Linked DNA regions of Stegostoma tigrinum. The protein of the gene in region 2 purifies or fractionates together with the protein of the main gene of each other region. This does not show direct contact. Links are inferred from orthologs where the notes say so. Each region holds a gene or a part of one and is shown on either strand. Other genes may lie near its edges. The genes, in order: rngtt and polr2d.

Region 1 (10,696 bases), on a different chromosome or scaffold from region 2:
CAGGGAACTATAGATGGGTGTATGAATTAGAAGAGTTTGGAGGGACATGGGCTAAATGTTGGCAAATAGGACTTGATTAATTTAGAGTTGGACCGAAGGTCTGTTTCCATGCTGTACAACTGACTTGACACTGAATGCTTTTAACAAGGTGAATGTGAAAAGGATACTTCCTGTTGCGAGTGAGTCCTGTCTTATTAACAAAGACAAAGTCAGGTTTTGCTCTTTCTCTAATAGGAATATTTAGAGATAGATAAAGAAAATGTTCTTGTTAAGGCGGTAAGGAAAAGCCAGGGAACTATGGACCAGTGAGCCTGACATCAATGGTGGGCAAGTTGTTGGAGGAAATCCTGAGGGACAGGACTTAAATATTACTTGGAAAGGCAAGGACTGATTAGGGATAATCAACATGGCTTTGTGTGTGGGAAATCATGTCTCACTAACTGGCTTGTTCTTTTTTTGAAAGAATAACAATGAGAATTGATGAGGGCAGAGCATGGACTTCAGTAAAGCAGTGAACAAGGTTCATTGTGGTAGACTGGTTAGCAAGGTTTGATCACACGAAATACAGGGAGAACTAGCTTTCTGGATATAGAACTGGCTCAAAGGAAGAAATCAGAAGGTGGTGGTGAGGGTCGCTTTTTAGACTGGGGGCCCCATGGCCAACTATGTGCCACAAGAATTGGTGCTGGGTCCACTACTTTTTATCATTTATATAAATGATTTAGATGTGAACATAGGAGGTATGGTTAGCAAGTTTGCAGATGACACTAAAATTGGAAGTGTAGTGGACAGCGAATATGGTTACCTCAGAGTAAATGGTCTCCCTCCTACAGAAAGGATGTTGTGAAACTTGAAGTTGATCAGAAAAGACTGACAAGGATACTGCTGGGGTTGGAGAGTTTGACCTATAGGAAGAGGCTGAATACGCTGGGGCTATTTTCCCTGGAGTGTCGGAGGCTGAGTGGTGACTTTATAAAAAGGTTTATAAAATCAGGAGGGGCATGAACAAGGTGAATAACCCTGGGGTATGTCGCAGTCCAAAACCAGCGGGCATAGGTTTAAGGTGAGAGGGCAAAGATATAACAGGGACATAAGGGGTAACGTTTTCAGTCAGACACTGGTGCATGTATGGAATGAGCTGCCAGAGGAAGTGCTGGAGGCTGGTATGATTACAACTGAACAAGTACAATGGGTTTAGAGGGATATGAGCCAAATGGGACTAGATTGATACAGGATATTTGGTCAGCTTAGACGAGTTGGACCGAAGGGTCTGTTTCTATGTGTATATCTCACGAATAAATGACATTTAACAAATTCTTCACCATTCAAATCTTTTACACCATGGTAGTCCCAGGTGATGCCTGTAAATTTGATTACCTACTGTTAAAACCTTGTTATTCTTACACATATCTGAAATTTCTCTTGATATTTGTTGCTCAATTTCCCTCTAACTATTGGGTGATCTATATACAATCCCATCAAGGTGATCATTCCTTTTTTATTTCTAATTTCAACCCATACACTTTCACATGACAATTCTTTCAGAAATACCTTTTCTAGTTAGATTAGTCATGCTTTCCTGAATCAAAAACACCACTGCCCCTCCTCGATTGCCTCTTTCTATCCTTCCTTTAAAATTGGTTAGGGATAGTCAGCATGGTTTTGAGTGAGGGAAATCGTGTCCCACAACTTGGACTGTTTTCTGAGGAACTAACCATGAAGATTGATGCAGACAGAGTGGTAAACATTGAACAAAAACAAAGTTCTGAGGAAAGGTCACCATACTACGTTAGCTCTGGTTTCTGCTTCACAGATGCTGCCAGACCTGCTGAGCTTTTCTAGCAACTTTGATTTTGTTCCTGTCTTACAGCATCCGCAGTTCTTTTGGTTTTTATTAGAGTGATAGATATTGCTTACTTGGACTTTTAGTAAAGCTTCTGACAAGGTTCTGCATGGTAAAGTAATTAATAAAAAGTTAGATCACATGGAATTCAGGGTGAGCATGTCAACTGAATTCAAAATTGGCTTTACAGGAGTCAGAGTGTGATGGAGGAGTGCTGTTTTTCAGACTGGAGGCCTATGACCATCAGTATTCCACAGGGATCGGTGCTGGCTCCACTTTTAGATTTTATTCTCATGATTTAGATAAAAATATAGAAGGTATGGTTAGTAAACTTGCAGATGACACCAAGGTTGGTGATACAGTGGAGAGTGAAGAAGATTATCTAAGATTACAAAGAGATCTTGATCAATTGGGTCAATGGGCTGAAGAATGGTAGATGGAGCTTAATTTGGATAAATACAAAAAGTATTGCATTTTAGTAAAACAAACAATGTATAAATAATGGTAGGGCCTTGGATGGTATTGTAGAACTGAGAGACTTAAGAGTTCAGGTATAGAATTCTTTGAAGTTTGCATCACATATAGATAGATAGGGCAATCAAGGCATTTAACACATTCTCCTTCATTGCTCAGACCTTTGTTTATACGAGTTGGAATGTTACGTTGAGGTTGTACAGGGCATTGGTGAAGACTCTTTTAGAATACTGTGTGCAGTTCCGGTTGCCCTGTTATAGGAAGTTAATGATTAAGCTGGTGACAGTTCAGAAGAGATTTGCCATAATGTTGCCAGTAACTGGAGATTTGAATTATGGAGAAGAGGAGAGATAGGCTGCGACTTTTTTCACTCAAGCATAGGAGTTTGAGGGACGACCCTGTAGAAGTTTCTAAAATCATAGGGAGTATAGATAACGTGGCTGGCAGGTGTCTTTTCCCTAGCATGGGGGATTTCAAGACTATGGGGCACATTTTTACGGTGATAGGAGAAAGATGTGAAAAAGACAAGAAGGGTTTTTTTTTTAAAAAACAGACAGCAGTTCACGTGTGTAATGAACTTCCACAGGAAGTGGTGGATGCAAGTACAGTTACAACATTTAAAAGACATTTAGATAAGTAAATGAATAAAAAATATTTGGAGGGACATGAACCAAGCTCAGGCAGGTGGGACTAGTTTAATCTGGGATTGTGATCAGCATGGACAGAAGGGTCTGTTTCCATGCTGTATGACACTGTGGCCCTATAACTCTAGTGGATACGGTTCCAAAATTAAGGGTTAACTTTTCAGAGCAGATATGAGGACAAGTCAACACAGCAGGACAGGCAGCATCACAAGAATAGGAAAATCAACGTTTCGTGTTGGGACCTGAACTGAAGAAAGATCCCGAACCAGAAACAAACATCAACATTCCAACTCCTCTGATGGTGCCTAACCTCTTGTGTTCCTCCAACTCCACACTGTGTTGACTCTGACTCCAGCAGTTGCAGTTCTTGCTATCACAGAGATGGGGACAATTTTTCCCCCCTCTCAGACGATGTACAAGTTTGGAACTGTCTGCCTCAGAACACGGTGGAGCCAAGGTCGTATAATATTTTAAAGGCAGAGTTAAATAGATTCTTGTTAGGCTGGGCAACCAAATATCAATTAGAGATGTGAATGTGGATCTACAAACAAACAGACAAACAGTTTATGCAGCAGAGGTGGTTTACAGGCCTAACTGTCTACTTCTGCACCAATTCCATATGCCCCATTCAATTCTGTAATATTCATATTTATGGCCTGGTACCTAGGCGAAAACAAATTTACATACAACCATCTTTATGTGCAACCATCTGCATCAGGTTCAAGTGAACACACCAGCTACAAGCACTAGTAGGCGTCAGTGTGTTTTCGGAACAAAGTTTTCAATACAGACATTGCAGTAAACAGACTACCAATACTGCATTTTACCTTAGAGGCTTTGACTCATGATGCTCTTTTAATCAATTTCAACATTTAGACAGCTAAGGAAAGTTTATAAATAAAGTATCTTACACACCAGAAAGAACTGACCAATCAGTGTGTTAAGCAGAATTTAGGTTAATTAATACTCGTAGTATCCCATCCACATGTGAAAAACGTTCCTTCTTCAACCTTATTTGAAACGTGCTCCCTGGTCATGATTGGATGCTGAACAACATTGCAGCAACCGCCACCCCAACTAGTAATTTCGATTCAGCTAGACCACGGAACAAGTTTTCAAGCTTCCGAGATGATCTCCTCAGTATTTTGAATTACTGCACAATGCAACTAATCAAAGACAACAAAAGGAAAGCAAAAAGCATCGCCCCCACCATGGCTGATTTCTGACAACTCACCTGCCACCGGCTGTCCTCTCCTGGGACAATTCAGCCATCGCGGGGGGATTGCGCTGTTTGACATGCCGAAATCTCACACCACCACAAGTTTTCTTGCTTCTGGCAGCAGCGGGAGGGGACGAAAGGGGAAATATCGCCTCCAAGTCACTGCCGGATCCTCGTCGCGCTCTTTCCCTCCTCAAATCACAAGCGAGTCCCCGGCTTGGAGGCCTCAGCTCGGCCCCTAATGTCCCGGTAAGGCCCGGGGTTTGTTGCTGCTGTCGACTTAAAAGCGAAAACCCAAGGAAATACCGCTGAAGCCGAGTCTGTGTTTTCCGGCTGGTGGTATGGTGGAAATCCGCTGTCGCTGGGGGAGCGCCTTTAAACCGTTGGCAGCGAGTAGGTTCCACGCCGCCGGGCACCCGAGGGCAGAATGTGCACGCGCACGCATGCCCGCTCCCCCATCGCGCCGCGCAGGCATAGCGCGCCCCCGCAGCGCCTTATCCCCCTGCTGTTGGGACAGTCGCAAAGTGACGTGTCCAAGCGCACCCCATCCCTCACGTGACAAGTCGGCAGTCACACCACAGCAGGTTATTAGCCCGACAAGTTTATTTGAAATCACAAACTTTTGGAGGGTAGCCTCTTCGCCAGGTGAAGTGTGAGACAAGGACACTGAGACAGAATATGTAGGCAGAGAAATCAAAAGGTCATACAAATGGTGTAAGTGGAGTGTTAAATAATAAGTCTCTGCAGGTAATCAAAACTGCCAGACAGTGTGAGAAAAACGTCATCAGCTGAATAACAAGTAAAGGGATGACTGATTAAATGAGGCAGATAGATAATTACAAAAAAATAAAAATAAGGTGGTGCTGGAGACAAACCAAATGACTGTAATAACATTGATAATGGGAACTGTTATCTTGGATTCTCCAGCGTCTGCAAAGTGTGGAGCTGGATGAACACAGCAGGCCAAGCAGCATCTCAGGAGCACTCTGATGAAGGGTCTAGGCCCGAAACGTCAGCCTTTGTGCTCCTGAAATGCTGCTTGGCCTACTGTGTTCATCCAGCTCCACACTTTGTGATCTTGACTGTAATAACATGTAAGGTATGAGTCACATGCTGAGGGTCTAACTAAAGTAATAAGTAATCCAAAACTGTACAAAGTAATTGAGGTAGAGTGATCATAATGATTTATCGAGGTGATGGTGTCAAAAACAGGACCGTAAGAAAGATTTTACTGATATAGAACAGAGTGTTGGGGTCACACATAACAAGATCACAGTTGAGGCTGTATTCATGGGTACAAAACTTGGGTATCGGTTCCAAGGCAGCATTTGAGATACACTACAATGCAGAATTGCCAAGCAGAAACTGGTAGTCAAGTTCTTAATTAGTTTGTACAGTTTTGGATTACTTAGCTTAGATCCTCAGCATGCAACTTTTTTTAAATTCATTTCATGGAATGTGGGCATCACTGGCTGCAGCAGCATTTATTGCTCAACATTAATTGCCTAGAGGGCAGTCAACCACAGTGCTATAAGTCTGGAGTCACATGTAGTCCAGGATAGCAGTTCTCCTTCCCGAAAGGGCATTAGTGAACCAGATGGGCTTTTCCTGACAATGAGCAATTATATCACATTCATCAGTAGATTCTTAATTCCAGAATTTTATTGGCAGGATTTGAAACCCTGGACCCCAGAACATTACCTGGGTCTCTGGATTAATAGTCTTGCAATAATACCACTAGGCCATCACCTACCCTGTAATACCTATTGTGTTGTTACAGTCATTTGGTTTGTCTCAAGCACTACCTTATTTTTAATTTTTTGTAGTTATCTCTGCATCATTTTATTGGCTGGGACTTGGGACTCAGATCTGGATTTTTTTTTCTTGCCTACCTTTAGGCTCTGTTAAATCTTTTAATTCTGGTTTTTGTAACCAAGTGAGCACTAGTGAATGGCGACTTTGTGCACTTTTCACTGTATTTATGTATTCCCATACTTAGTACATGATAAATAAATAAATCGGATCCCTTCGCTTGCAATTCAACTGTTGACACTATACTGACACAGACTGACACTTTTGATCACATGCAGAAACTTATTATTTGACACTCCACTCACATCATTTATATGTTCTTTTGAACTTTCTGCGCTTGATCTTTCTGCATATAAATTCTGTGTCAGTGTCCTTCTCTCTCATTTCACCTGACGAAAGGGCTATGCTCCAAAACTTGTGATTTCAAAAAAAACCTGTTGGACTATAACCTGGTGTTGTGATTTTTGACTTTGTCCACCACATTCCAACACCGCTACCTCCACATCATGACTAACATGACGTGTCATCATTCAGGAAATACACAAGCCTGCATTCTTACAAAATCTAAAACAAATTCAATCATAATCTAATTGAATGGCAGAACAAACTTAATGAGTTGGATAGCTCACTCCTGCTCCTTGTCTGTATGTTGACTAGGACCATTCAAGAAATTATTGGAAAATCATAACTAATGCATGCACTAGCTCTACAACATGGAGCCATATTTCCAAAACTCTTCATTGGCAAAAGAACGAGCTACCAAAAGACACAGATTTAGGATAATTCCCAAAATACTTACAGGCAACATGAAGTGAGAAATGGAGAAGTCTTTGTGGTACAGTGGTAGAATCTAACTTCAAGTATTATTTGCCCCAAAGGTATGTCAAAACACTTGATTAAAAGTGGCTTTTGGAGATTTTGTGGTATCAGGGGTAGCATTCCTGCTCCCAGACATCATGACCACAGGAAGATTCAATCATAACAAGGACATAAGAGAAAATACGAATGCTGCAAGTTCATAAAAATAAATAAGCTGTCTGAAACAGTGGGGAAAGCAGGGTTCAATGACTATATTTAGCAAAGATATACAGAAGGGGCAAGTAAGTGGAACTAATTGGATTCCTTTCAAAAAATAAAGTCAAATTCTCTTCTGTTTTACTTTATGCTTAATCAGTTCTTTCAAATCTAGTTAATGAACCACAAGGGTGAGATATTCAAGCATTAGAACTGGTGAAGAGAAAGGACTGATTCATAATCTCAAATGTTTGACTTATAAGGAAAAATTGAGGACAGGAAAGGAGGCATCTAAGGTTATCCTAATTGGTGTGAGAACAGTAGTTGTGACAATCTCCCTAGGAGTTGTTAATTTTTAAAAAAAAAAATCTGATTACCTCAGTCCTTTGTTCTGGTTACTTTTCCAGTATTCCAAACTGCTCCAGTTTCTTTTGCAATAACACTGAGAGGAACTACTGCCTTCAAACTCGACAATCTTCCATCTTCTAATCCCTCACAAAATTAAAACGGAATTTAAATCTCACCCACGTAATGGTCAATGATGAAAATAGCTTACAATGCAGGTCTTAACATTTATTTAACCACCTTCTGCAAACCACATGAGGTAAACTCTGCAACTAACTTTCTGAGGAAACGTTTGTGACAAACTGAAACTAGAAAAACTGATTGCACTCTATCCATCACCAGGCTGATATAGCCTGCTCTGAGTTATACTAAAATTGATGTTTAAATTAACTTGCAGTCTCAGAATGAGTTTAAAACTGAGATGAGGACAAGTTTTTATTCATTGAGACAATCATAAATCTTTGAAAGTCTGTACTTGAGAGAAGTGTGGAAAATATAAGTTATTGAAAATATTCAAGTGCAAGATCAATAGACTTGCAGCTATTAATAATAAACGAAAATGAAGACTGTGGGAAAATAATGTTGAAGTAGATCAGCCATGAGCTGCTTGAGTGATAGAGCAAGCTTCATGAAGAAAGGGATTCCTCCAGCTTTCCTTTAATTTATAATACCTTCTTTAATATGAAGTAATTGGGTTTTCCAACCTTTTAGGATTTACTGAACTGTTTCAAGCTTAGTTAATTTACATCTCTCTCAACCGAAGGAAAGTTGACATTTTCGGTCCTGACCCAAACGTCAAATTTCCTGCTCCTCTGATGCTGTCTGGCCCACTGTACTTCCCCAGCTCCACATTGTTATTTCTGACTCCAGCATCTGCAGCTCTTGCTATTTCTCTGAGCTGCACATCTCCAACTTTTCACAAAATAAGCTTACTGACAGTTTTATGATATTACCTTTCTAGATGTTAACCTCTGAAGGCAACATGCACCAACATTTTAAACAACATCAGATGTTTCAACTATAAATTGCATTTATCTCAATTTTTCCAGTTAAACTTTAATTCTTAATTGTATTCTAAAACTGAAATATATTCTAAACATGAGCTAGATATTCACTGCATAGAATAAATCAAATTGATTGAGTAGAATGTATGGGACACCAGTTCAGACTCTTAAACATATTTGATTGCTATCAAGAAATACTAGGGACGGGCAAGAAATACTGGCCAGCCAGTGACGCCCACACCACACAAATGAATAAGAAGAAATTAATTTTGCATGTGAAAAGTAATTTATTAAAATTAAGATGTTTATAGCTAGATAAATTAAGATAGACAAAACAGCCTTGCTGAACAATAATTGCCTTGTAATTTTATGATAGTTGTACTTTTTAAATTCTAGTCACAAGTAGAATCCATGTTTAAACCAAGGACTACAAACTTAAACAAAAACTAGAATATATAATTTTTAAATACATTTTAGTGTTAAGTATCTAAATAGCGTCTGCAAAAAGTTAGGATCTTATCTTCAACCCAAATTAGTGACTCAAAAAGTTTTTTTTGCTCATCTCTTGCCAATGTTTAATAAACCTGTTTGGATATGCTGTGACACACCTCGAAGGTACTTGCCTGATCCAGAAATAACTTCAACGTTAATTCCACTCGTACAATTATTTATCCAGAAATTCATTAGTGGCTGATCGCCTGTGAACGATTGGGTAGCGAGTAGGAAACAGTAATAAAATGTTCCAAAGCAGTGCAGACTAGAGAATGTCCTTACAAAGATGGTGCTTGAAGATCACTTTTAAAGGGTTAATTTCTATGATATGAAATTGCAAAACTCTTCCAAAGCATTGGTGCTCCTAGGGCTATAGATTGCGTCAGAATCAAAAGCATAAACTCATTGCCTTGGGGAGGTGGCAATGTTTAAGGCAAATTCCTGAACGCATTCGAATACCCGGGCTGAGGACGTGCTTTTCGTATAAGAAATAGAAAGCTATTGGAAGTTTTACGGAAGTACAGGGGGAAAATGGAATGAATCGTGTTTTTCTTCTGAAAATAATCATTTTATTGACTGATATTTATGTTACACAATGTCAACGTAAGGAAGTTCAGAAATCAATTAGCGTTTTAGTCAAAGAACGCTTCTTCGGTTTTAGGAAATTCGTTGCGTGTCAACGAGTACAATTTCCCGTATTCCCGGGGAATTTAGGGAAATCCCACAGCAAAAACAGTGGAAATCATCGCCACACCACGTGTCATTGAGCAAGAATTCGAATTTCGATCTGAATGGACTGACAGGTTTCAGGACGTCCGACAGCGCAGACGTCACCGCCCCAGAGACGGAAATTACCGTCACGTGATGATCATTTCACTGCCCACATACACAAAACTCAATTCCAACGGTCTTCACGGAAACAGGGAACTGTAAGCAAGTACGGCAAAACAAATAGTTAAAAAGGTTACACGTACGACTGCAAGAAATTAGACAAGCGACAGACTTATGTGCGCCTGCGCCCAACTTCAATACCCGTTGCCGCATCCGGGCTCGTCTCTCAGACCAATGACATCATGGTTGCTAAGGGCAAGAACAGGGCGGGACGGGACGGCGCGACCAAGTCTTTAGTCACGTGGCACCACCACAACGCGCTACCATTGGTGGGTACCGGTGAGTGATGACGTGTCGCGATCGCCTGCCTTCTCCATTCCCCCCCCCCGTTGTTGTCAGAAGTGTAAGACTGTTGCCTCCATGGTTCTTCGTGCTGTTTATAAGCTGGAGTCGGCCTCTTAGTCTTTGCCTGTTATTAAACCCAGCCAGCGACATATACATATATATATATATATATATATAGCTTGCGTTGGGAGGAAAGCTAGAGTCTGAGGTAGGAAGGTTTTGCGAGTGACCGAACAATCGCAGGAAGTCGCTTCAGTGGCCGCCATTTTCACTCAACTTTTAATCCGACGACGAGCTGTATTTATTATCTGGAGGTAGGCCAGTGACTCTCCTCTTTCCCCGGACCCACCCCCTCCTTTGCTTCTCAACAATTACTTTGGAAGAATTAGACGTTTTTTGGCATTGCATGGTGACCGCCTCCTTCGTTGAACGTCGCACCTCAGATGCTGAGTTCGGGATTTTAGCCAGAAGTCGTAAGCGGAGGAAGAGGCGGCGGCGGCGAGTCCCCATGCACCCGTTACCCCTACCCCGACCACCGCCAGGCCCTCCGCCCGTCAATGCAGCCTCAAAGACCGTCGTTGTGAGCCGCCACCGTCACCCGCACTCCAGCCAGCAGCAGCATCATCATCAGCAATATCCCCAACAGCATCCCGGCAAAGCTGCCGCGGTGAGT
Region 2 (10,972 bases):
TATCTTTGTATCATCGGCAAACTTCGCCAGAATGTCCCTAGTCCCTTCAGCCAGATCATTAATATATAAGGTGAACAGCTCCGGCCCCAACACTGAACCCTGCGGGACACCTCATCGTTGAGCCTTTCCTGCTGGATACTTGATGCCGCATAAATTAATAAAAGTGACACGACTCACTGTCCACATTCACACAGCAAAAGTAACAACAGTGAAACCAAACCCAACAGAGGGCGATGGCCTCACTGTAAAGGGATACCTGTGCAATTACCAGGAGCTGTTCCCTTTCTCATTTCCCTGTTGCATATTATTGAAGTACATGTTCAAGGCAGGCCGAAATCGATAATTATATAAAATACCTGTATGGACAGAGTGGAATAAAGGCCCAGTTCAGTAAAATACACCACGTTTCCAAAAGGTGCCATGGGCCTGACTGGCAACCATTGTCAATAGATTGTTGTTGCATTTTCCTAAGTCTGCATAAGAGGAACAGCTTCATTCCTCTCCTGACAGAATCAATCTTAACTAGGATCCAACATATGGGTCTTCACTTTAATAAAACAACGTGGGGCTAATATCCCATCAGAATTAGTTACAGGATTTATCAGAATGGAAGGGAAAACAAAACACAGTCAAAGACATCAGATTGAAACAAAAACAGGCAATATTCCTATTCTGTGACCCCAGAGCGTCTTTGTACTCTTAGGTGTCAAGTAACATGTTACTAAACAGCTCTGGATTTAGGACTAGTCCAAGGGTTCACAGTCACATTCAGTGCATTTGGTTTGCTTCAGCCTATAGGGTCGGCACCTCCACTCTCTGTACAATCAGTTCACATCAGAGAGAAGCACCAGCACCATTGTTCAGTGGATTAGCATCAGGAAGAGCTGGGCTTTAGCAGATATTGGAATCAATACTGAAAGCTTCGCTTGGTCTGAATGTCGTCAAGGATTTGTTGGAGCTCCTCATCCTCAAATCGACCCTCCAAGCTGAAATTTTTACAAAATAGAGTGGGAGCAGGGGAACAAAGAGAAGAAAAGAGCATGAATATTCTGCAACCACCATCACAGTTAGGTGACTAAAAACAATTACTCTACATGCAGATTTAAAACTGCCAGATCCCGAAGAGCTACATCCATTAGACAGTGACATTGATATAAACATATTTGTTCCAAACTCAGTTCAGTTCATTCCCAATCACTTCATTAAAATATTCCAGCTTTGTTAGCATACAATGGAAACTCATCAGCTCAAGATGTCACCAACGTAGAAGGTATATTTAGGGCGATGGTTGTTTTCATACTTATTTTGCAAAACAAACTTATGCCATTGTCTTATGCCCACTTGTATACCGTGTTCTCCAAGACGAGGGTACTGAAGAATTATTCGAACCTGCTTCCATGAGAATTCAAATGCCATAAACATCAACACAAATACAGACAGAAATGCTAATAAATGGCTGCGTCACCTCATAAAATAATTAAAGAGAAGGAAAAAATAGCCCCCAAAAATCAAAATGTAGCACTCAGGAGAACGCACAGAAAAGAAATATTTGCTCTGATTGCTTAACCGGGAGCCAATGCCTTGTCTTTAAAGTTCTCATTCTTGCTTTCAAATCAGTACTGTCACTCCCCAGCTCTTCCATTTCCTCCAGTCCTACATGTTTGGAGAAGCATACATACATGGAAATTGTATTTACTTCACGACTGACCTCGGTGCCTTCAGTGGACCCCATGCTCGAAAGAAACAGTACAGAAAGAGCACTGACCTGGGAATGAGGGCTTTGGCCTCCTCAGCTGTCTCAGGACACAGATTGGCCAAACTGGCTAGCTCAAATTTGTGTAATTTCTTCTGTAATAGCAGACTACAAGAAAGAGAATGTGAAAGCTATACTTCAAATGAAAGCCACACACTAGTTCAACTCGATCTCTTCACAAGAGCCTAAATGTGATTAAATACAACACAAGCGTAAACAGGACTGAGAAGAATAATATGATCAATTCTATTTATCTGTGATAATAGAGTAAGACAGTTAATAGTAGACAAGTAAATTGAAAGATAATAAAATAACTACTGAAAGAAAATGACAAAGTTGATATAGTTACCAGGAAACATTTCCTTGTCAAACACAGTCAACAGATCCCAGCCACAGTTGTTAACTTTGAGCCAAAAGCAGGCAAAAAGGATCAGTATTCAAGAGGATCAAGTTATCAACCTTCATACTTAGTCAGAAGTCAAAATTGTGCAATATGTCATCATAGGATAATTGTGCACTAAGCTCAGAGGATAGAATTAGCCCACTTGCCACTGAATTTGCCTGAAATTTGCTGTGAATACTGTCACAAAGACAATTTAGCTGTCACATTATTATAATAGCACTGTTTGGACATATGTGCTTTGAACTTTTAGGAAGAGACACTGCAAAACAAAATACAATGACTACAGTAGCAAAACCATTGCATTTAGAAGGAACAGGTTGTTTCAATGAAGATGCCAAGTCCACAACACCTTCAGAAAAGTCACATGATCCAGTTTTGGTTCCAGGGAAAGAAAAGTAGATGATTTGAGCTCAGATAACCAGAGAGATAACTTGCCTTGAGCACAGCCCTTACCATCTCTGTTTTCTCTGAAACTCATCTTAAAAGTTTGAGTTATAAACCTTTTGAAAGATTTCATCAAGTATTAGTTCCTAATGGGAATAGTTCTGATTGCTGCACTCTGAGTTCTTGAAGGAGAATCAGAATCTATCACCAAATTCAAAAGAAAATCAGCTAGTCACATGTGATCCAGGAAGAAATCCTATTGCCAATATTTTGTAAGCAAAGTGACTCTGCTACAGATTACCATTTGGACACTGATTTTTTAAAAAATTAGATTGTAACTTGGTTAAACACTTAAGAAAACACATTGAAATGTTTTCAAATTTGTCTCTCTCACTGCATCCGAGTGAGTGAGTGTTATTTTTCAGGAGAAATTGAATATATTTGACAGCTTAAACCTTAAGTTAATCTCAACAATTTGCTTCAGTAAGCTTCATATACAATAAGTTAATTCGTGACTTGTTACTTAAAGACCATGGCTGACTTGCTTTGATGTGGACTAAATATACAATCTGATACTATATATAATTGAAAATACCCCCCCCCTTTCAAATTCCAAATCTGTTGGGACCAGGGAAGGATGGGACAAGTAAGAGAATTAATTCACCCCTCCCAACCCCAGCAAGAGCAATACTGCAGATCAGTAGGTGCACTGAATATTTTCGAATCCTCACGCACTGACCTCCTAACACTGGCAATGGTCTCCCTATTTTTGAAGCGGCTGAATCTGGCTGTATAGTTTAACGTTTTCATAAACACTTCAGAGAGCTCCTGCTCATCTTCTGCACTTTCGTTCTGCTGCTTCCGGTGCTCCAGCAACATGTGGACCTCAGAGTTTAACAGGGTCTCTGAGCTTTCAAACTCTGTGACAACATAAAACAAAACAACCAAAATGTAGCCAAACCTTCAGTCAGTTACCTAACAATGCCCCTCCCAAACAACTTCCAATAACTTAGTTTTTTGAATACCATATTGATAGTACTTAAGCTCAAACATCTATCAACTGGTAACAAAGTGTGGAGCTGGAGGAACACAGCAAGCCAGGCAGCAGAGGAGCAGGAAAATTGACGTTTCGGGTCAGGTCCCTTGATTTCTGAAGATTTCTAAAGAAAGGTCCCAACCCGAAACATCAACTTTCCTGCTCCTCTGCTGCTGCTTAGCCTGTGTTCCTCTTCCCCCACCTTCACACTGTGTTATCTCTGACTCCAGCATCTGCAGTTCTTGCTATCTCTGAGCGATCACCTGATAACAGGTTAACTCCTTCCATTCCTGTGTACTGAGTTTCCATATCTGAAGCCTAGAAAGAGGGAGCGAACAGTACCGTATTGCACACATTGAGCAAGGTAATTTCAGAGGATTAAATCATTGTGCCACATACATGCTTCTCCAGTGGAACATTTGCTGAGTAGTAGATGTGTACAGTTGGAATTTGGCAGAAAGCAATTCATAAGCTTTTTTTTAAAAAAGGTAAGTGAAGAACTTAAGTGGGAATAGCAAAGGAAGTAGTGTATTTATGGTGGAACAGACTCAAGGGCAAGAAAAGCCTTTACTGTGCTGTATGATTCTACAACTCTGAGGCTTTCCTGAAAGTGGTTCGCATCGCTGCCTCACAGTGCCGGGTAACAGGTTCAATTCCGACCCTGGGTGGCTGTCCATGTGGAGTTTGCATATTCTCCCTGTATCCGTGTGGTTTTCCTCCGGGTGCTCCAGTTTCCTGCCACAGTCCAAAGATGTGGATTGGCCATGGTTAAAAGCCCCATGCAGGGTTACAAGGATGGGGTGGGTCTGCCGGGGATGTTTTTCAGAGGGTCAGTGCCGACCTCTATGGGCCAAATGGCCTCCTTCTGTACTACAGGGATTCTCTGACTCACAAAAGGAGAATGAAAGTGGCATGCTCAGTGGCCAACCCTTCACCCTGTTCCCTGAGCATACTGCTGCTATTGTTATCATTCTCTCTTGAACTTGGTGGCCTGTCGCTTATGTTATGTCTTTATGCAGCATTTCTTGAAGGGCAAACTAGAAGTGAATTGAGCATATAAAACAGAGTGAGAACTGACTGAGAATACAGCAGGAACTTTCAATGATTTACCTTTCTCACCCCATTATCATCATCATATCCATCCCTCTCCCTCTCCGCCAGTACCTTTCGGGAACACCAGCTGGGAAGCGTCCTCCTCCACATCGCCGACCCGGGCCTCACTACCACAGGCCGCCATTGCAAGTCCTCACTGACCCGGAACAAGACCAGACCAGATCCCAGCCCATCCAGACGCATGCGCAAAAGCTGTACGGCTTCCCCCCCACCCCGGGCGCTGCCACGTTTGATACAGGCGGAACCTGGTCACTGAAAATAGCCTGGGAACAGTGTGGCTCCAGCCTGGCCCGGGTTCTTGCCTTCCTATTCGTTAAAACATTTTGTTGGATTGAGTCGGTCAATCAGCGTCATGATTCTGAGTGACTGAATGGGTCCCGCTCGTAAGAGGAAGAAGGGAATCTGTACTCGAAACTTTAACTCTGCATCCTCGCCACAGAGGCTGCCCAGACCTGCTCAGTTTCTCCAGCAATTTCTGTTTTGTTTCAGATCTGCAGTATGCACATTCTCTTTGTTTTATGTAAGAACAAGAGGACATAAAGCTAAAGTGATCTACAAAAGAAACAAGGGTGAAGTGAGGAAAAACCTGTACAAACAGTGAGTAGTTAGGCTATGGAATGCACTGCCTGGAAATGTGATGGAGGCACATTGAATTGACGCATTCAAGAGGGCGATGTAAATAACACTCAAAGCTATGAGGGGAAAGCAGGATACTGGCACTAGGTATTGGTGCACTTTTCACAAGCTGTTGTCAGCACAATGAGCTGAATGGCTTCATGTGCACCATAATACTTATATAATTCTATGGGTCTACTCCCTGAGGAAGAACAATGTCCCTTTCAATAAGAACATACCCAGGTGACTCAGGTCAGCCCTGAGTCTACTTCACCTTGCATGGCTGATCTGATTGTGGCCTTATCTCCATTTTCATGCCTGACCTCCTTGGAATCTTTGACTCCCTTGTCAATATATAACTCCGACTTGAATGTATTCAATAGCCCAAATTACATTGCTTTCCATGTGAATTCAAAACACAAACTACCCTCTACAGAGGGTGACCAACTATTAAGACCATAAGAAATTGAAACAGGAGTAGTCTGTTCAGCCCTTCAAGCCTGCTCTGCCATTCAATAGCATAATGGTTGATTCAACATTCCTCGTCTCCTATTTCCTGCTCTTTCCCTGTAACCCTTCATTTCCCTATTGATCAAGAACCTATCTCAGCCTTAAATACACATAAGGACCCCGTGCCAAAACAACTTTCTGTAGCACGGAGTTCCCAAGACTCTCAATCCTCTGAGAGAAGGAATTCCTATTCATCTCAGTCTTAAATTGATGCCCCTTTATTGTGAGACTATGCCCTCAGGTCCTAGAGTCTCCCATGAGGGGAAACATGCTTTCAGCATTTGACCCTGTCAAGCTACTGAAGAATCCTATAGTTTCAATGATATCACTCTTGTTCCAACAGTAGAGTCCCAATCTGTTCAACCTCTCATCAGCCAAGTCCTCTATACCAGCGATCATCCTGGTGAATCTTCTTTGAACTGCCTCCATTTAAATAATTTCCTTAAATAAGTGGACCAAAATTGCTCTCACAGTACTCCAGATGTGGTCTCACTAGCACCTTGTAGTTACAATAAGACTTCCCTACTCTTATACTCCAGTAAACAGTTGCGGTCCAGCACTGGTCCATGTGGAACCCACTGGTTACAAGTCACCAAGCTGAAAAAAAACCCTTATCACCACTGACTGTTTCCTGCCCATTAGTCAATTCGCCATTCATGCCAATATAATACCTCCAATACTGTGGGTTCTGTTCTGGATTCCCAAAAACTGTCAACAGTCCCCACAGGTGCCATTTAGAGATCTTTGACTTTTGAGCGTTGTGGTAATGGTTTATGCACAGAATGCTTTGCTGGTCTTCTGCTCCAACAACTTCATCAGAGGTAAAGTCTCAACAACCACCTACCTACTCATTTTCAGCTGCAATCTGTCCTTGGAAGTTCAGCAACACTTAAGATTTGGTGAGCCTCCCCTAATCTTTTCCTCAAATGTTGGTCAACCTGCCTCTAAGGGAATGAGTAATTTTCATTTTAAATGGGAAACTCATTATTTTAAAACTCTGGCTTCTAATTCTAGACTTGCACCTGAGGGCAAACATCCTTTCAGAATCCATCTTGACAAGCCTCCTCAGAAACGTCTTTGTGTCAATAAGATCTCATTCTCCTAACCTCCAACAAGCCCATTCTGCTCAACCTCTCCTTATAAGACAGACCTCTTCATCCTGCAAATCTTCTAAGTGACTCTCCTCCTGCTTCCAGTGTAAGTAGGGTTCCCTCCTTAAGCTGACCAGAGTTGTGCTCAATGTGATTTCACTCATGGCCTCTGCAGTTTTAAGACATCCCTACCTGTATTCTCCACTCCTTTTGTAATAAATGCCAACATTCCAAACACTTGCCTCATCAACTTGTTCAGGGATGTAACACCTCTGGAGTGGTGGGATCTGAACCTAGGCCACCTGACTCAGAGGTAGAGATCTACCAATGTGTCACAAGGGTGCCGAAGCCTAAAATCCATTGTGTTCCGAATGACATGCTGCACTTGGTGGCTGATTATTTGTGATATATATAAGAAGTCTGCAGTGTCTCTCTGCCTTAAATAATAGTCTGCTTTTCTATTTCTGCCAAATTGGATGACCTCACATTTTCCCACATTGCATTATATCTGATAATTTCTGACTCCCCATTCTTTGTAGATTTAATTCCCAACTTATCTTTGTATTATCAGCAGAATTGGCTACAAAACAGTCAGTCCCTTTAACAAAGTCACGGACATAGATGGTGAATAGTCAGTTTCTCGTACTGATCCCTGTGGTATTCTGCTAGTTACAGTTTGTCATCATACTAATGACACATTTATCTCAACCACTTTTATCTTCTTAGTTCATTCTCTACACATGCTAAACACCCTGAACACCATGAATGCTTACCTTTTGTGGTTGGCTTTCATGCAGTGATTTTATCAAATGCCTTTCAGAAATCCAAATACACTACAGCTACTAGTTCCCCTTTAAATATGTCGCTTGTTACATTCTTAAAGGACATTACTGCAAATATCAATCAAATTTTTCTTTCACAAAACCATATTTACTCTCCTTGATAGTATTAATTTCAGATTGTCCTTCCACTACCTACTTTGTAGTGAATTGTAGCATTTTCCTAATGCCAGACATTGGAGTAACTAATCTATCATTTCTTTGTCTTTCTCCTTTCTTGGACATAGGTGTATTTTCTGGTTTTCCACTGGGCTGGGTCTGTTCCAGAATCTAGGGAATTTTGGAAGATTACAACCAATGCATTTACCATTTCTCTGTCGCTAGTTTCATTTATTCCACAGAATGCAGACAATCAGATCCAGTGGACTTGTCAGTGTGTTTGATTTCTGTTGCTTTTCCTGTGCTTTTTTGGTGACTGTTTTCTTTCACTTCCTTCATTTTGCTGATTGATTTTCTAATATTCATGGGGTGACTTTTTATCTTTAACCTTGAAGACTATTGACTTTCGCTAACTGTTTGGACATCCTTCTGCCTTTATCCAAAGATTTGTTATGGACCTGCAGTTCTCACTCAAACTGAATCTCAAATTCTTTCATGCCTTATTCACTCCTCTCGAAGGCATCCTTTACTGTAAAGGTCATTAATTTATTCTGTTTCATTCCCAATTGATAAAGTTGTTCCCTTGTAGCTTCCAGTGTGTATTGTCTTTGAAACTATTCCAGGAACACATCCTACAGGCCATCTTTGCCAATTTGATTTCGAAAGTTTTTGTCCACTCACTTACCTGACTAAATCCCTTCGTAGTCTCTTTATGTTCTTTTGACATATTTTCCTACCTAGCTTTGTGTCATCTTTGTCTTTAGCTAATGCCAAATGTTTGGGGTCTTCACACAAACATATCAGGGATTTCCAATTGTTTTGTATGAGGAACTATCTTTCCATTTATCTCTCATACAGGGCCAGCTAACAAATTTTGGGCAGATAAAGTCATAAATACTAAACATGAATTTGAAACAAAATTCCAAAGCAATAATTTGAATAAATTAGTGACTAATAGAAATGATCTCTAAAAAGTGCCGAGTAGCAGAGCTAACTAATAAAACCTTTGTCATTTCAGGTAAGGTCATAAGAACACAAGGTGTAGGGTAGATTCATTCTGCCCATTCAGCCCATTGAGTTCGCTACACTATTTAACAAGATCATGGCTGATCTGATAATCCTCATCTCCAGTTTTCTGCATTTCCCCAAAACCCTTAACTCTCTTTCTGATTAAAACTCAGTATAAAATATCTAAAATATAAAATAAAATTAAATACATACTTAAATATAAGAAAATAGCCTTTAAATACCATGAGGCAGAGATAAGTAGTACTTGAATAGTAAGGCGGTGAAATGTTATGGGTCGGTGGAAATGTACAATTTTCAGATATGTAGCAAGAAAATAAAATGCTAGATTCTATCCACTTTCCTGTATGCATCGGAAACCCAAACAATTAGAAAAATGCATGGGGAGAAAATGGAAACCTTTGAAAGGTGGGTGCAAAGATACATGCTAAAAAGTTCCAAATGCAGACTACAGTCATTAAGAGGTCCTTGAAATCATGAGTGCAAAAAGGAGTCTAAAAATGGCATCCAGAAAACAAAAACTGTTAGTGTTTTGGTATTTGGTCAGAGCTGGAAAGCTGCAGAAATGTCTTTCCTCAGGCAAGGCTGAGAATTGCAGAAATAGCTGTTCAACTAGCTCTAATTAAATGAGGGAAATAACAGAGTGGTTGCTGATGAGCCACAGTTGGATGTGAGGGGAGCACAACATACCACAACAACAACATACCTCCTGGCTGGAAGAGATACCAGCAGCAGCGGGAAGTCAAAATGTAACCTCAAATCAAATTTCAAAACTTACTTTCACCTCTGAAGTGGAGAGTTATGAATGTGAGAATTGGAATTTGTGATAAGGATGGAATGAGAACATTTGTGGAGGGCAATTGTCCAGGATGGGTGTGGTTAATTACGGTCTGAATGTTGGCTGCTGAGATGGAGATTTGAGGAGGTAGTTGGGGAGAAAGGAATGTGTGAAACTGCAAGGTTGGTCCATCAGAGGAGTGCCTGAAGGGATAATTCTGGTAAAGTCAGAGAGCATGTTTGTGTGTGGTAGACCTCCACAGCAAGGCTAAACACTCAATCCTGGTAAGAACCTGTGCATGGAGTCTTTTAACGTGGGGAGGCTTGTGCTGTCGCTAGCACCTGATTCTGGCTGGCCAGGAAACTTGCACATTTATTTTTACCGAATCATAAAGATTTATATATTGATAACCAACCTGCTGGGCCATGTTCTGATGTACTTTCACTGGCCATTAAGGGTTCAGATGGGGCCTGAACTCAGATCTGCCAGCCAGGAGGTAGGGACACCTACCTGGTTGGGTGATGGAAGACGCTGTCAAAGTGGCAACGACAAGAATCTTTCCTGGCCGAAGGAGGTCATGAACACAAACAGGAAGTTCCAACACTGAGATAACAAGGCATAGAGCTGGATGAACACAGCAGGCCAAGTAGCATCAGACGAGCAGGAAAGCTGATGTTTCGGGCCTAGACCCTTCTTCAGAAATGGGGGAGGGGAAGGGGGTCTGAAATAAATAGGGAGAGAGGGGGAGGCGGATAGAAGATGGATAGAGGAGAAGATAGGTGGAGAGGAGACAGACAGGTCAAAGAGGCGGGGATGGAGCCAGTACAGGTGCGTGTAGGTGGGGAGTTAGGGAAGGAATAGGTCAGTCCAGGGAGGATGGACAGGTCAAGGGGGCGGGTTGAGGTTATTGGGTAGGAGATGGGGGTGCGGCTTGAGGTGGGACAAGGGTATAGGTGGGAGGAAGGACAGGTTAGGGACGCGGGGACAAGCTGGGCTTGTTTTGGGATGCAGTAGGGGGAGGGGAGATCTTGAAGCTTGTAAAGTCCACATTGATACCATTGGGTTGCAGGGTTCCCAAGCGGAATATAAGGTGCTGTTCCTGCAACCTTCGGGTGGCACTGCAGGAGGCCCAGGATGGACATGTCATCAGAGGAATGGGAGGAAGAGTTGAAATGGTTCATGTCTGGGAGGTGCAGTTGTTTAGCACGAACTGAGCATAGGTGTTCTGTAAAGCCGTCCCCAAGCCTCCACTTGGTTTCCCCGATTCTGCCACTGTGTTCAGATGCTGAGCACCAGACTCCTGCTGCTGACAGCATCTGCAGCAT

What was found.
Region 1: the proteins of polr2d (region 2) and rngtt purify together in Homo sapiens (affinity purification with mass spectrometry; 3 studies listed by BioGRID and IntAct, with this or other methods). This does not show direct contact. The link is inferred for Stegostoma tigrinum from reciprocal best matches to the Homo sapiens genes POLR2D and RNGTT.

What each region holds. Positions count from the first base shown.
Region 1 is NC_081357.1:40,538,107-40,548,802, forward strand, and holds the start of rngtt (mRNA-capping enzyme), read right to left. Parts: upstream 4,625-10,696; 5' UTR 4,260-4,624; coding exon 4,196-4,259; intron 1-4,195. Other genes in the region: pnrc1 (proline-rich nuclear receptor coactivator 1), read left to right, coding at 10,430-10,696.
Region 2 is NC_081367.1:6,521,760-6,532,731, forward strand, and holds polr2d (DNA-directed RNA polymerase II subunit RPB4), read right to left. Parts: upstream 4,851-10,972; 5' UTR 4,814-4,850; coding exon 4,741-4,813; intron 3,461-4,740; coding exon 3,280-3,460; intron 1,862-3,279; coding exon 1,766-1,861; intron 987-1,765; coding exon 908-986; 3' UTR 524-907; downstream 1-523. UniProt on the Homo sapiens protein: Core component of RNA polymerase II (Pol II), a DNA-dependent RNA polymerase which synthesizes mRNA precursors and many functional non-coding RNAs using the four ribonucleoside triphosphates as substrates.